Linked DNA regions of Ovis aries. The protein of the gene in region 3 binds, or shares a complex with, the protein of the main gene of each other region. Links are inferred from orthologs where the notes say so. Each region holds a gene or a part of one and is shown on either strand. Other genes may lie near its edges.

Evidence for each region.
Region 1: FBXL13 (region 3) and DRC1 share a complex: the UniProt entries of both Homo sapiens proteins name them as parts of the nexin-dynein regulatory complex. The link is inferred for Ovis aries from reciprocal best matches to the Homo sapiens genes FBXL13 and DRC1.
Region 2: FBXL13 (region 3) and CCDC153 share a complex: the UniProt entries of both Homo sapiens proteins name them as parts of the nexin-dynein regulatory complex. The link is inferred for Ovis aries from reciprocal best matches to the Homo sapiens genes FBXL13 and DRC12.

The regions. Positions count from the first base shown.
Region 1 is NC_056056.1:33,576,995-33,580,746, forward strand, and holds the start of DRC1 (dynein regulatory complex protein 1), read left to right. Parts: upstream 1-1,092; 5' UTR 1,093-1,157; coding exon 1,158-1,312; intron 1,313-3,752. UniProt on the Homo sapiens protein: Component of the nexin-dynein regulatory complex (N-DRC) a key regulator of ciliary/flagellar motility which maintains the alignment and integrity of the distal axoneme and regulates microtubule sliding in motile axonemes.
Region 2 is NC_056068.1:29,499,208-29,502,959, reverse strand, and holds the start of CCDC153 (coiled-coil domain-containing protein 153), read left to right. Parts: upstream 1-1,288; 5' UTR 1,289-1,512; intron 1,513-1,631; 5' UTR 1,632-1,643; coding exon 1,644-1,713; exon of another isoform or gene 1,714-1,998; coding exon of another isoform or gene 1,999-2,038; intron 2,039-2,111; exon of another isoform or gene 2,112-2,116; coding exon 2,117-2,182; intron 2,183-2,551; coding exon 2,552-2,695; intron 2,696-3,233; coding exon 3,234-3,482; intron 3,483-3,752. UniProt on the Homo sapiens protein: Component of the nexin-dynein regulatory complex (N-DRC), a key regulator of ciliary/flagellar motility which maintains the alignment and integrity of the distal axoneme and regulates microtubule sliding in motile axonemes.
Region 3 is NC_056057.1:45,810,759-45,814,410, forward strand, and holds part of FBXL13 (F-box and leucine-rich repeat protein 13), read right to left. Parts: intron 2,367-3,652; coding exon 2,257-2,366; intron 237-2,256; coding exon 72-236; intron 1-71. UniProt on the Homo sapiens protein: Substrate-recognition component of the SCF (SKP1-CUL1-F-box protein)-type E3 ubiquitin ligase complex.

The DNA.
Region 1 (3,752 bases), on a different chromosome or scaffold from region 3:
CGTACAAAACACCCAGGAAATAGTGCTTTTCAAGGGACAGTAGTCCTTCGAAAGTTTAAATGTGCTTCTGTGCTCTTAACTTTCATTCCTCCCCCCTCACTCCCTTTCCTACCTGTTTTTCTCTGCTCTCCTCTTTTTTCTGTATGTGATTGCGGGTAGTAATGGAGGGAGTGCAGCCCTACTGAAAACCGCTACATAAGACAACGGTTCCTTGTTGGATATACATTTATTGATGGCAGGGGGTTTTCACATTCTAGAGACGATAGAGGCTGAATACACAAAGTAGGAGCTCAAACACTAATGGATGATGGGAATTCCTCCGCGGCTCAGTGGTAAAGAGTCCGCCTGCCAGTGAAGGAGACAAAGGTTGGATTTCTGATCTGGGAAGATCTCACGTGCCACGGAAGAACTAAGCCTGTGTGCTGCAACTATTGAGCCTGTGCTCTGGAGCCTGGAGACTGTAACTACTGCAGCCAGGAGCGGCAACTACCAGAGCCCTTGCGCCCCAGAGCCCTTGCTCCGCAATCAGAAGCCCATGCACTGCAACAAGGAGTAGCTCCCGCTCGCGGCAGCTAGAGAAAAACGCCTGCTGCAAAGAAGACCCAGCACAGCCAAAAGTAAAGTTATACATATTAATTTTTAAAAAGAATGGATGACAAGCAGGTGGATGCAATGTACTTTAGTTCAGAATTTCTGAGTGAACCTATTATTCTACCCCCTCCATCGAGGAAAAGACAACGCTTGGATCCTCGGAGCTAGCACAGTGATTGGCATAGAGTAGACATTGAATTACATTAGCTGAATACGGTGATTTTGAGGATTATTTATTTGATGGATGAATTAATCATAGGGTAGGTAAGTGATGAATCACAACTTGGTTCAGCTCTTAAGTCTTCCGGCCTCTGTTAATACCACCTGAGCCTTAGTGGGGGATTCAATACAGTCCTCACCGTAATTGCAGCAGAGGAATAAAACCCCAAGCTGAGACAACGGCGCTAAGAACACCAGTGCGCCCGGCCTTAGGGGCTGCGCGCGCAACCACGCCAGCTGCGGGTCAGGTGACTGCATTTCCCTGGCAACAGCTTTGTTGTTAGCAACCAAACTGTAGTCCCACGGTGGTCCAGGCAGGGCTGCCCGGGGGGCGGAAGGCACCTGCCATGAATCCGCCAGGATCCCTGGGGGTCCTGGAGGAGAAGGAGGATGAACATTTAGCCACCCCAATTCTCGGACCCTCCGTACATTCTGATAATCCTCAGGAGCGGATCCAGGCCCGGCGCCTGCGCATTGCGGCGCGCCTGGAAGCTCGGAGGCGGTGAGTCAGGGTTTGGGCGCGTTCTTCCAAGGAGCGCCCGGGGTGCAGGTGACCTGGGTGCTGGAATGAGGGGGTGGCTTCTCCAGGCCGGAGCCCCTGTGGTGAGGGGCTCGCGTGCCCTACGTGTGAGCTGGTCTTGCTTCTTGATGAGATAGAAAACTTTTCTGCCAGAAGGTTCAAACAAAGTATGTGATATTAAAGCATTGAATACACTTAGCAAAGTCAAAGATGGAAACAGGAATCCCTCCAGCACGTTCACGGAGAGCCTGCTGCGCCAGGCACTGTGGGCCGTACCTGAAGATGTTGGGGCTTCATGACCGGTCCCCCGAGATCGTTCTTTCCTCCTTGCCTCCCAGCGTGCCTTCCTTCCACAAGGGGTTACAGAGCAGACCTCGGCTATCACTTCTGTTGGTTTCAGTGGCTTAACTGGTTGTGTGACACAAAACCGTTTTCCTGCAGAGTCTGAGGCTGATAACTGTACCATTCTCAGGCTGGGGTTGCCACCCTCGTCCACTCACAGACTTTGTGGCCTGTCTTAAGAAGGGGGATCGAGGGGAACTTGCGTGAACCTGTGACTGCCTGAACACCGCACTGTGTGACAGCGCTTATACCTCGTCCTGCTGGTCAGGGTCAGCTGCCTTGCCAAGATGGTGCTTCTCTTGTTGTCTGCCGGTCTTTGGACACAAGGGGCCCAGAGTGATGTGGCTGTGTTCCAACAAAAACTTAACTTAAGGACACTGAAATTTGCATTTCATATAATGTTCGTGTGTCACAGAATATTCTTCATCTTTAGATCTTTTTTTTTAAAATTGATACACTTCATATTTTAGAGCAGTTTTAGGTTCACAGAAGAATTGAGTGGAAACTACAGAGGTTTCCCATTTACCCCCTACTTCTACACATGTATGAAGCTACCCTGGTGGCTCAGATGGTAAAGAATCTAACTGCAATGTGGGAGGCCTGGATTTAATCCCTGGGTTGGGAAGATCCCTAGAGAAGGAAATGGCAACCCACTCCAGTATCCTTGCCTGGAGAATCCCATACAGAGGGGCCTGGTGGGCTACAGTCCATGGGGTCACAAAGAGTCACACCCAACTGAGTGACTAACACGCACTCTACACATGTATAACCTCCTCCACTATCAATATTCTCCACCAGAATGGTACATTGGTACAACAGTTGGATCTTGATAAATATATAATGACATGTATCTACCCATCACAGTACTGTACTGAAGAGTTTCACTGCCCTAAAAATCCCCTGCACTCTGCCTATTCGTCTTGATCTTTTCAAAAAACCATTTGAAATGTAAAAAAATCATTCTTCACTCCTGAGCCATACAAAAGCAAGTGAATCAGATTTGGCCCATCAGCCAAAGTTTGGCAGCCCTGAGATAACAGATCAGTGTGATGCTCTGTGGGATATCCAAGTGGTCCTGATCTATCTAGACTCTAGTTTGTCAGCTCAGGAGCATTGACATGGCCCTGCAAGTATGAGGACTGTATGAGTGTGTATTATCTGTTCCTCCTCGATATGAACTTCCTAATCCTTTTTCCTGACTGAGGTAGAAATAGCATATTTGGCTCAATCAGTGGCCACATTCCAGGTACCTAAGGCCACACTTATATGTTCAAGCAAGGACCTGCATGACAGCTGCAATTAGGACTGCTGCTTGCTTGAGCTTGCAGTAATTGACAATCATTTTCTTGGCTCCATCCATCCAGTTTTTGCAGGGACCTGACCAGTGAATTAAATGGTGATTTGATAGGCACCACCACTCCCACATCTGTGAGATTCCTAATTGTACTGTGTGCTCAACCACTCAGTCATGTCCAGCTCTTTGTGACCCTGTGGACTGTAGCCCACCAGGCATCTCTGTCGATGGAATTTTCCAGGCAAGAATACTGCAATGGACTGCCATTTCCTTCTCCAGGGGATCTTCTCAACCCAGGGATTGAATCCACGTCTCCTGCATTGGCAGGCAGCTTCTTTGCCACTGAGCCACCTGGGAAGTCCTTGAGATCCCTAAGGGTGATGCTAATCCCTACCGTAGCCCTGGTATACAGTATTGCTTTTTGTGCACTTGGGTGCAGTTTTGGAGTGTCCATTTGACCTTCCATATGGCTATAGCTCTTACCCACAGGCCAACAACCTAGTGTGAGAATTTCTCAACTTTCTAAGCATGTTAAGATCACCCTTGTTGCTCTTTAGGGAATGGTTTGGAGGAACAAAGATCCTACATGCCACTTGGAGTAAAAAAACTCTGCCTTTCCAATGCAGGGGAGGCAGGTTCCATGGGGAGCGAGCTAAGATCCTACATGTACTCCCTGCATTGGAAACTCAGAGTCTTAACCACTGGACCACCAAGGAAATCCTGGATTGTGTTCTTTTTAGTATTCGAATTTTTATCCCTATGGAATATATTTTTGTATATGGTGAA
Region 2 (3,752 bases), on a different chromosome or scaffold from region 3:
GCTAACCAGGGCAAGCCACTCAGCGTTCTCCCTTCCCCAGATTTATTTTTCCAACTATTCGTGACTCCAGCAAGATGCTAGGCAGCACCCCTAAATGAGGGGTGCCCCCAACATTGCTCCATAAATAATTTAAATAGAAAAATTCAGGAGACTTACTAGAAGGTCAAGAAAATCCACTAGAGGGAGCCCAAATCAACTCAATGCCACAGGGAACCAAGCTGGTTATTTTCTCAGCACCTGTCTGAAAATCAACCACAGACAGGAATAGGGAGAAAGAGGAAATATATTAAGTCACCATAAAAGAAGATAGTCCTGTAAATACCTGGTGAAAATCCAAGCCTTTCAAGATTTACAAAATCAAAGATTTAGGAAACTGAGGCTGAGCAAGGAAAATGACTTACCCAAATTTACATATCTGGAGAAGGGTAAGGATGAGAACTCAAAAGCTCCTGTCTCTAACCAGTACCCTTTCTTCTTGATTTGCATCTATGTCAGGATAGAAGGGCATCGCAACCCACTCCAGTATTCTTATCTGGAGAATCCAATGGACAGAGGAGCCTGGAGGGCTACAGTCCATGGGGTCACAAGAGGTTGCAAGAGTCGAACACGACTGAGGTGACTTAGCACAGCACCTTGAGGTCCTAGGTCGAACTCTCCTCTGTGTCTCATTTATCTGAAATAGGAAACTCTCTCAACCACCATCTCCTGAATTTCTTTCCCTCATTCACCGTAGAATACCTTCCTGAAATCTTCAATTTTAAGCCTATTTAATAATGTCATTTTGTTGATGAGACTTTGGGAAATGTAAATCACCCCAAATGGCTACCGTGAGTTCTTTTCCTCTGTATCAGCGCAATAGCATTATTTTGGATGTGTAAATCTATAATTTGTAAGTGTCCAAATTGCAGGCAGTGCTACATAGAAGTGAATCATATTTAATCAGTTCCAAAGCCCTCTCTCCTCAAACTACACTTAGGATCTGGGGACAAGAAGAGTATTGGCCCTCTGAGACCTTGGTATTTTAAGCATTGTATTTAGCCCCTTCTACCAGACACAATTATAACGACTGAGCAAGCATGCATGTACCTTCCTAACAGCTCCATGTTTCCCAGTTGCCTGGACAACGTGCAGCCTCCAGAAGCCCAACCTTCCAGTTCTCAGTCCCACCCCCAAATGAAATTTGCCACTCTGGATTGGGTCCCAGAACACAATCTCCTCCTCCGGCTCCTAGCTGGTTGGGCCTTTTCTCTGCCCCTCCTGGAAAGTGGGTCACGCCACAGGGAGATACAACAGAGACAAGTGAGGGTCTTGGAGGAAGGAAGAGGCAGGGTAAGGATGATGGGAAGAGAGAAGGGGCCAGGTACTGAGCTTTATTTTCTCTGAAAGAGGGTTGAGAGGAATGATTTCTGTACTTAGAGCTTGACTGGTAGAGAGAAATGGGTTCATCCTTCCCCCTGGCCCCAGCCTTGCCTAAGTTTCCAAGGAAACCAAGAACTGAAGCTTCTGGAAAGTGTAAGAGACAGACTTGGAGATGAGAGCACTAATTCTCCTGGGACTCCTGGTTCCGTCTAGGGAGTCAGGAGAGTGTCTCCATGTCCAGACCTAAATATGAGCCCCCTCCCTCCCTCCAGGACAGGAAGGAGATGCCACCTAAGACCAAAGAAAAAGGGACAAAAGCTGGGGCCCAGAAGAAGAAAAGAAATGCAGGTGCTGGTGAGTCAGACTGGGTGGAGGTGGGTGCCTCCCAGCCTCTCCTTGTTCTGGCTCAGAGACCTCCAGAGAGAATTCATCCCTCTGCGTGACAAGATGGAGCTGTCTTGGCCTTCCCCCTTTATATCCATATTCGGGTGCCATGGAGCTGGGAACATGGGAAAATCAGCACCCATGAATCCCTTCTGGCTGTGTGCCTTCCTTGTATATTCATTACAATCTTTCAAATACCTACTGTGAGCTGGGTAGTGAACTCATTAGGCTTTGCTATCAGAGATCCCTCATTTAATGGTCCTTGTATCTCCCACAAAAAAAAGAGAAGTCCAGGGTATGGGAGGAGGGTGGGAGGAGGGTAGGGAAGGCTGAGATCCTGACAAGCTGAGGGTCTGCTGTCTTGCCAGGGCAGATGTGGAGGCTGAATCCATGCACAGGCTGGCACTGCTGGAAAAGGAGGTGCTCCAAGACCGCTTGGGTAAGAAGGGTAGAAGTTCGGCAACAGAGACAGTGGGCATTTGTGTATCCCTGGGAGCTTAAAGTTTTGGAACAATGGTGGAGGGCTGAGCTGATCTCTAACCATCCCCTAATGGGAAAAGATTGTCAAGAGCTGGGGTCATGAGGACAGGGTGGGCCGTGAGGGTTGATAAAGAAAGCTAACTTTTATAGCTGGAACACAGAGGGAGTTTTTCCCTCTTAGTAACAGAGTCTGTAGGATTCTGAGGCGGGGAAGGGAAACAGAATGACGATGAGAGACTGGCAGGCTGCCGCCAGGTTTCTGAAGGTGGACAGAGTCCATCAAGGCCATGGGGGCTGATTGATTGAGTGGAGCCCCCAACCAGTGCAGAGGGCTGCTCTGGACTGTTCACAGCTCTGCAGAGGGATGAAGCCCGCCGAGCCAAGGCTTCGGAAGACCAGCTGAAGCAGAGGATCAAAGACCTGGAGGCTGAACTGGAGGGGGCCCGGAGCGAAGGGAAGGCCATATATGCAGGTGTGAGGTTGATCGAGCAGGTGGGCGGGAGACAGGGGCCCGGAAGAGGACAACTGGGAGGGCCCAAGGATGCTAGAAAGGGAGACAAGGAGGACTTCGAACCGCCATACCTAGCCTCAGCCCTCCCTGCACCCACAGGAATCCTGAGGGGGCCTTCTGTGGTCTTGGGCAGGAACCTTCCGTGACATGCAGTGCTTTGTGCTTGATGTCCCGTGGACTATGAAACGCAGCCCTAGCCTTTATCTCACTCCTCCCGTGGGAGTGGGTGGGAAGGAGGGCCTGAATTCACATACTGAGCTACCATAGCGGATGGGTGTCTTATTTCCTAGCTCTGTCCCTACCTTCTCAGATCACCACAAGAATCCAGAAGACTTTTTTTTTTTAAGATTTTTTTTTTTTTAATGTGGACCATTTTTAAAGTCTTTATTGGATTTGTTACAATATTGCTTCTGTTTTATGCTTTGGTTTTTTGGCTCTGAGGAATATGGGATCTTAGCTTCCAGATCAGGGATCAAATCCGCGTCCCCTGCATTGGTAGGTGAAGTCTTAACCACTGGACTGCCAGGGAAGGCCCTCAACAGACCTTTATGCACTTGTCCACTGGACCAAGCAGAGCCCTCCCCACCCACAACTTCTGTCCTTTCTCCACTGCTCTCTCCCCATCTGGGTCCCTGGCCACCCACGGCTCTGCCAGAGATGAGTCGTCAGTGCCGGAGCCTGCAGGAGGCGATGCAGAGTCGCACCAGGAAGCTGGAGGAAGAAGTGAAGGGCCTGCAGGAGCAGTTAGGTAGGCTTCCCAGGTGGCCCTAGTGGTAAAGAACCCGCCCGCCAATGCAGGAGACTTAAAAGATGTGGGCTCCATCCCTGGGTCGGGAAGATCCCTTGGAGGAGGGCATGGCAACTCACTCTGTAATCTTGCCTGAAGAATCCCATGGGCAGAGGAGCCTGGATAGCCCCATTCCATGGGGTCACAAAGAGTCAAGCACTAACCGAGTTAGCACGCACACACAGCACACCCTGCCCTCACAGCACTTTCTCTCAGAGGATCACACTGATG
Region 3 (3,652 bases):
CAAGGTTTATAAAACCACTCTTTAAGAAAACATTATCAAAACAACTAGTTAAGACATGAGTTCATACGAACCTGTAATATTGCTCTTTTGGGTAACTGTGAAATGTCAAAATCAGGAATCCCACCTATAAGAAAGTCTTCAGACACAAATTGTTCAGGAAAAAAGTGTTCTTCTTTAGAATTTGCTTTGAATTTTAACTTGGAGAATTTTTGTAATTGAAGTTCATGCTTTAGCATCTGCCATGAAAATAATTTACAGATTCCATGGAATTGTTGTAAGGACTAAATGAGACGATACATATAAAGCACAATGCTTGATATAATGACAGCACCAATTAAACATTATTATCATCATCATTATATAAATTATCATTGTCCAGGGCATATGTAATAGTCTCTGAACCACCAAAGCATTATAGATCATTTCCACTAGTTGTCATACAATACTGGCATAGGCAGTCACCTTGAAGATGTGGGCCAGCCTTCTCTTATAGAAATGAGAAAGCTGAAACCTAGAGTCAAGGTTCTGGTAATGACAGAACTGATACTTGGGGCATGGAAGGGTAAGGGTTACCCTGGAGCTGTAAGAGGAGAGTCAGGGGACTTCTCTGGTCTCCAACCTCTCACTATCAAGAGCCTGGGTTCAAGGTCCCTGGTTGAGGGACCTAAGATGCTAGAAACCGTGTGGCATGGCCAAAAATGAAAAAAAAAAAAAAGTGTATATATATATGTGTGTGTGTGTGTGTGTGTGTATGTGTGTATATATATATATATATATATATATATATATATATAAACGTTTTTCTTAAAAAAAGTCAGAAGGAAAGAATTTGGAGAATTGCCTGATGTATCATTACAGTAAATCCCCATTTTTACTTTCAATCCATTCATTAAGAGCGCATAATCAAGGAAAAAACCCTCAAGGGTAAATAAGTGTTGTACCCATACACACACACAATTTTCCTGCAATATATGTACATACTAGAGCCTAAGGAAGCGTGCACAGTGGAGAGCTGGCACGTAGCTCTCTCCTCCCAGCAGACACCTGCTGTCCTCACTCCACCCTAGTGAGTGCAGCAGTACCACTAGGCCAAGAAATCACATAGCTAAAATAAAACATTTTCTTTAAATACTCAATTAACTATTTAATACATATCTACTCTAGTACTCTTGCCTGGAAAATCCCATGGATGGAGGAGCCTGGTAGACTACAGTCTATAGGGTCGCAAAGAGTCGGACACGACTGAGCGACTTCACTTTCACTGCTTTCACATATTAGGGATAATATTACTGTGTCATATATAATATACACTATCATACATATTTATATATATATATATATCAATTACTACAAAACATCATGTTTAGTGTATGGGGATGGTTAAAGAGAACAGTGCTGCCTTCTCTCAGGGACATTCAGTTTAAGGGGATATAAAACGGCAGCCTGGTCACGCAGTTACCTTTTCACCAGGAACCGTAAAATGGGGTTTAATTTCTTCCTAGTTTTCTCTTTCTTATTTATCCCGACTTTATATTTCAGACTATTAGTAAAACATTACATACTAAATAATATAACTACAAAAAATTCCAGCATGTTTCTGTATCTGTTCCTAGTAGTTACTATGAATATTCTAAAAAACATTAAATGATAATTTACTATGCTGATAGCTAAAGCAAACTAGAGATGTTTTTATTATTATAAGTTTGAAGGAGTTTGCCTGGATGCTCTGTTTTGACTGCTTTAATTTCTAATACGTGTCCCAGTTAAGAATGATTCAAGTGTAGAAATTTAGTAGCTTTAAAGATAATTTAGTATTAAGATTTTAATTTACTAAATTGGATATTGAAAAGAGTAGATAGAAATGCAACCTTATCTAGAAAAGAATAAATTTAGTCTACCATTTATTTCTGTTATAATCATATCAAACCATTTCTCTTCCACTTTAAACATTTATTTCCACCTAAACACTTGCTTAAACAAAATTCTTAGTGTCTTTATCAATAAATTAAAATGAAATGTTAAAAAGATGTTTCCTTGATGTTGAACTTCAAATGAAAGAGCAAAATTTATTAGGAAATATTTTGGGTAAGTGAGGAGGCATTTAGATTGTTAAATTAAAAGAAAAAGGACCCCTTTAAAAGTATATAATATGCAAGTCTTCAGTGTTTTCCACGCGTAGCGTTATCATCTGAGACAACATCAATGTAACAGCAAAGTTCAGTTTCTAAAAAACAGTAAGTGTCCAATATGCCATACCAGCTCATCTTCTCTCTTTTTAAACTTATGTCTTGCTCTATCCCTCCATTTACTTAGGATAACTATCATCTTGTAGCAGTGGAACATCTTTTGTATCCGCAGTAGTGCATCTGAAGAAAATGCATTAGATTACTGTATATAATTGCACAGTATTATGATTAATATTCTATCAGGTTTATAACATGAAACAATGCTGCATTTGATAGTTTTTATTTTAATTGCATCTGAAATTGATTACTATTGACAGCAAAATATAGTACTGCTGAGACTTCATTAACTTGTAAACATTACCTTTGCCCTTATAAATTAAGATATTATAGATGTAACAAAATGTCAAGTTATATAGCATATCCTTTTAAACAAATCTGTTCTTTATAAAACCAGAACTTCCAGATTTATTCATAGAAATAGAGTCATGAGATAGTACTTTTAAATGCCCTGTGATTAAATAGATTGCTCGCTCTCTCTCTCTCTCTATATATATATATATATATATATATATATATATATATATATATATATATTTTATGTTTAAGCAGGGGTCCAAAGCTCAAACACAGGGGCCAGGCCAAGAAGGAGGATGATTAAGGCAGGCCTTGGGGACACCATTCTTAACTATAGCTAATTGCTTCCTCTCAGAAATAGAGACCCACTACCTAGCTTAGTCGGTAAAGAATCTGCCCGCAATGTAGGAGACCTGGGTTCGATTCCTGGGTTGGGAAGATCCCCTGGAGAAGGAAATGGCAATCCACTCCAATATTCTTGCCTGGAAAATCCCAGGGGCAGAGGAGCCTGGCGGGCCAGGGTCCATGGGGTCGCAAGAGTCGGATATGACTTAACGACTAAACCACCACCACCACCCTATGTTAAAATCACCAGAGTCCACTCTGAGGTACCAACAGGAGCCAATCAAGAGGAAAGGATTTACTGATTTGCAGCAGCCATAAACAGATCAATATGTAGTTAGCTGGATGGACTCTCTATTCCTGCTCTGAAAAGCACATACATGTACTGTCCACTCATTACAGCTATCGAGGGTTTAAGTAAAAGAAAATTATTTTTCTTTAAGTTTTCTCAGAAATTCATTAAATAAAATATAAAGAATAAAGAGCTGTTTATAAAAAACAGTCAATTTTGATATCTATCTGTCCATCTACCTATCTATCCCAACTCTCTATTTTATAAAAAAAAGTTAATAGTAGCTCCCTATTTATATTGAAACTTGTATATATATCACACAAATAGATATAGAATTTTATTTAAAATATGCCTGCTTTCTATTACACTAAATCTCTTTGAGACAAATCTCATTACATACTTTAAATTAGTGACTTTACATTTCATGACAATTTTCTAGACATAAAAATAATAAATTCTCTAGTACAGGTTATGTTTA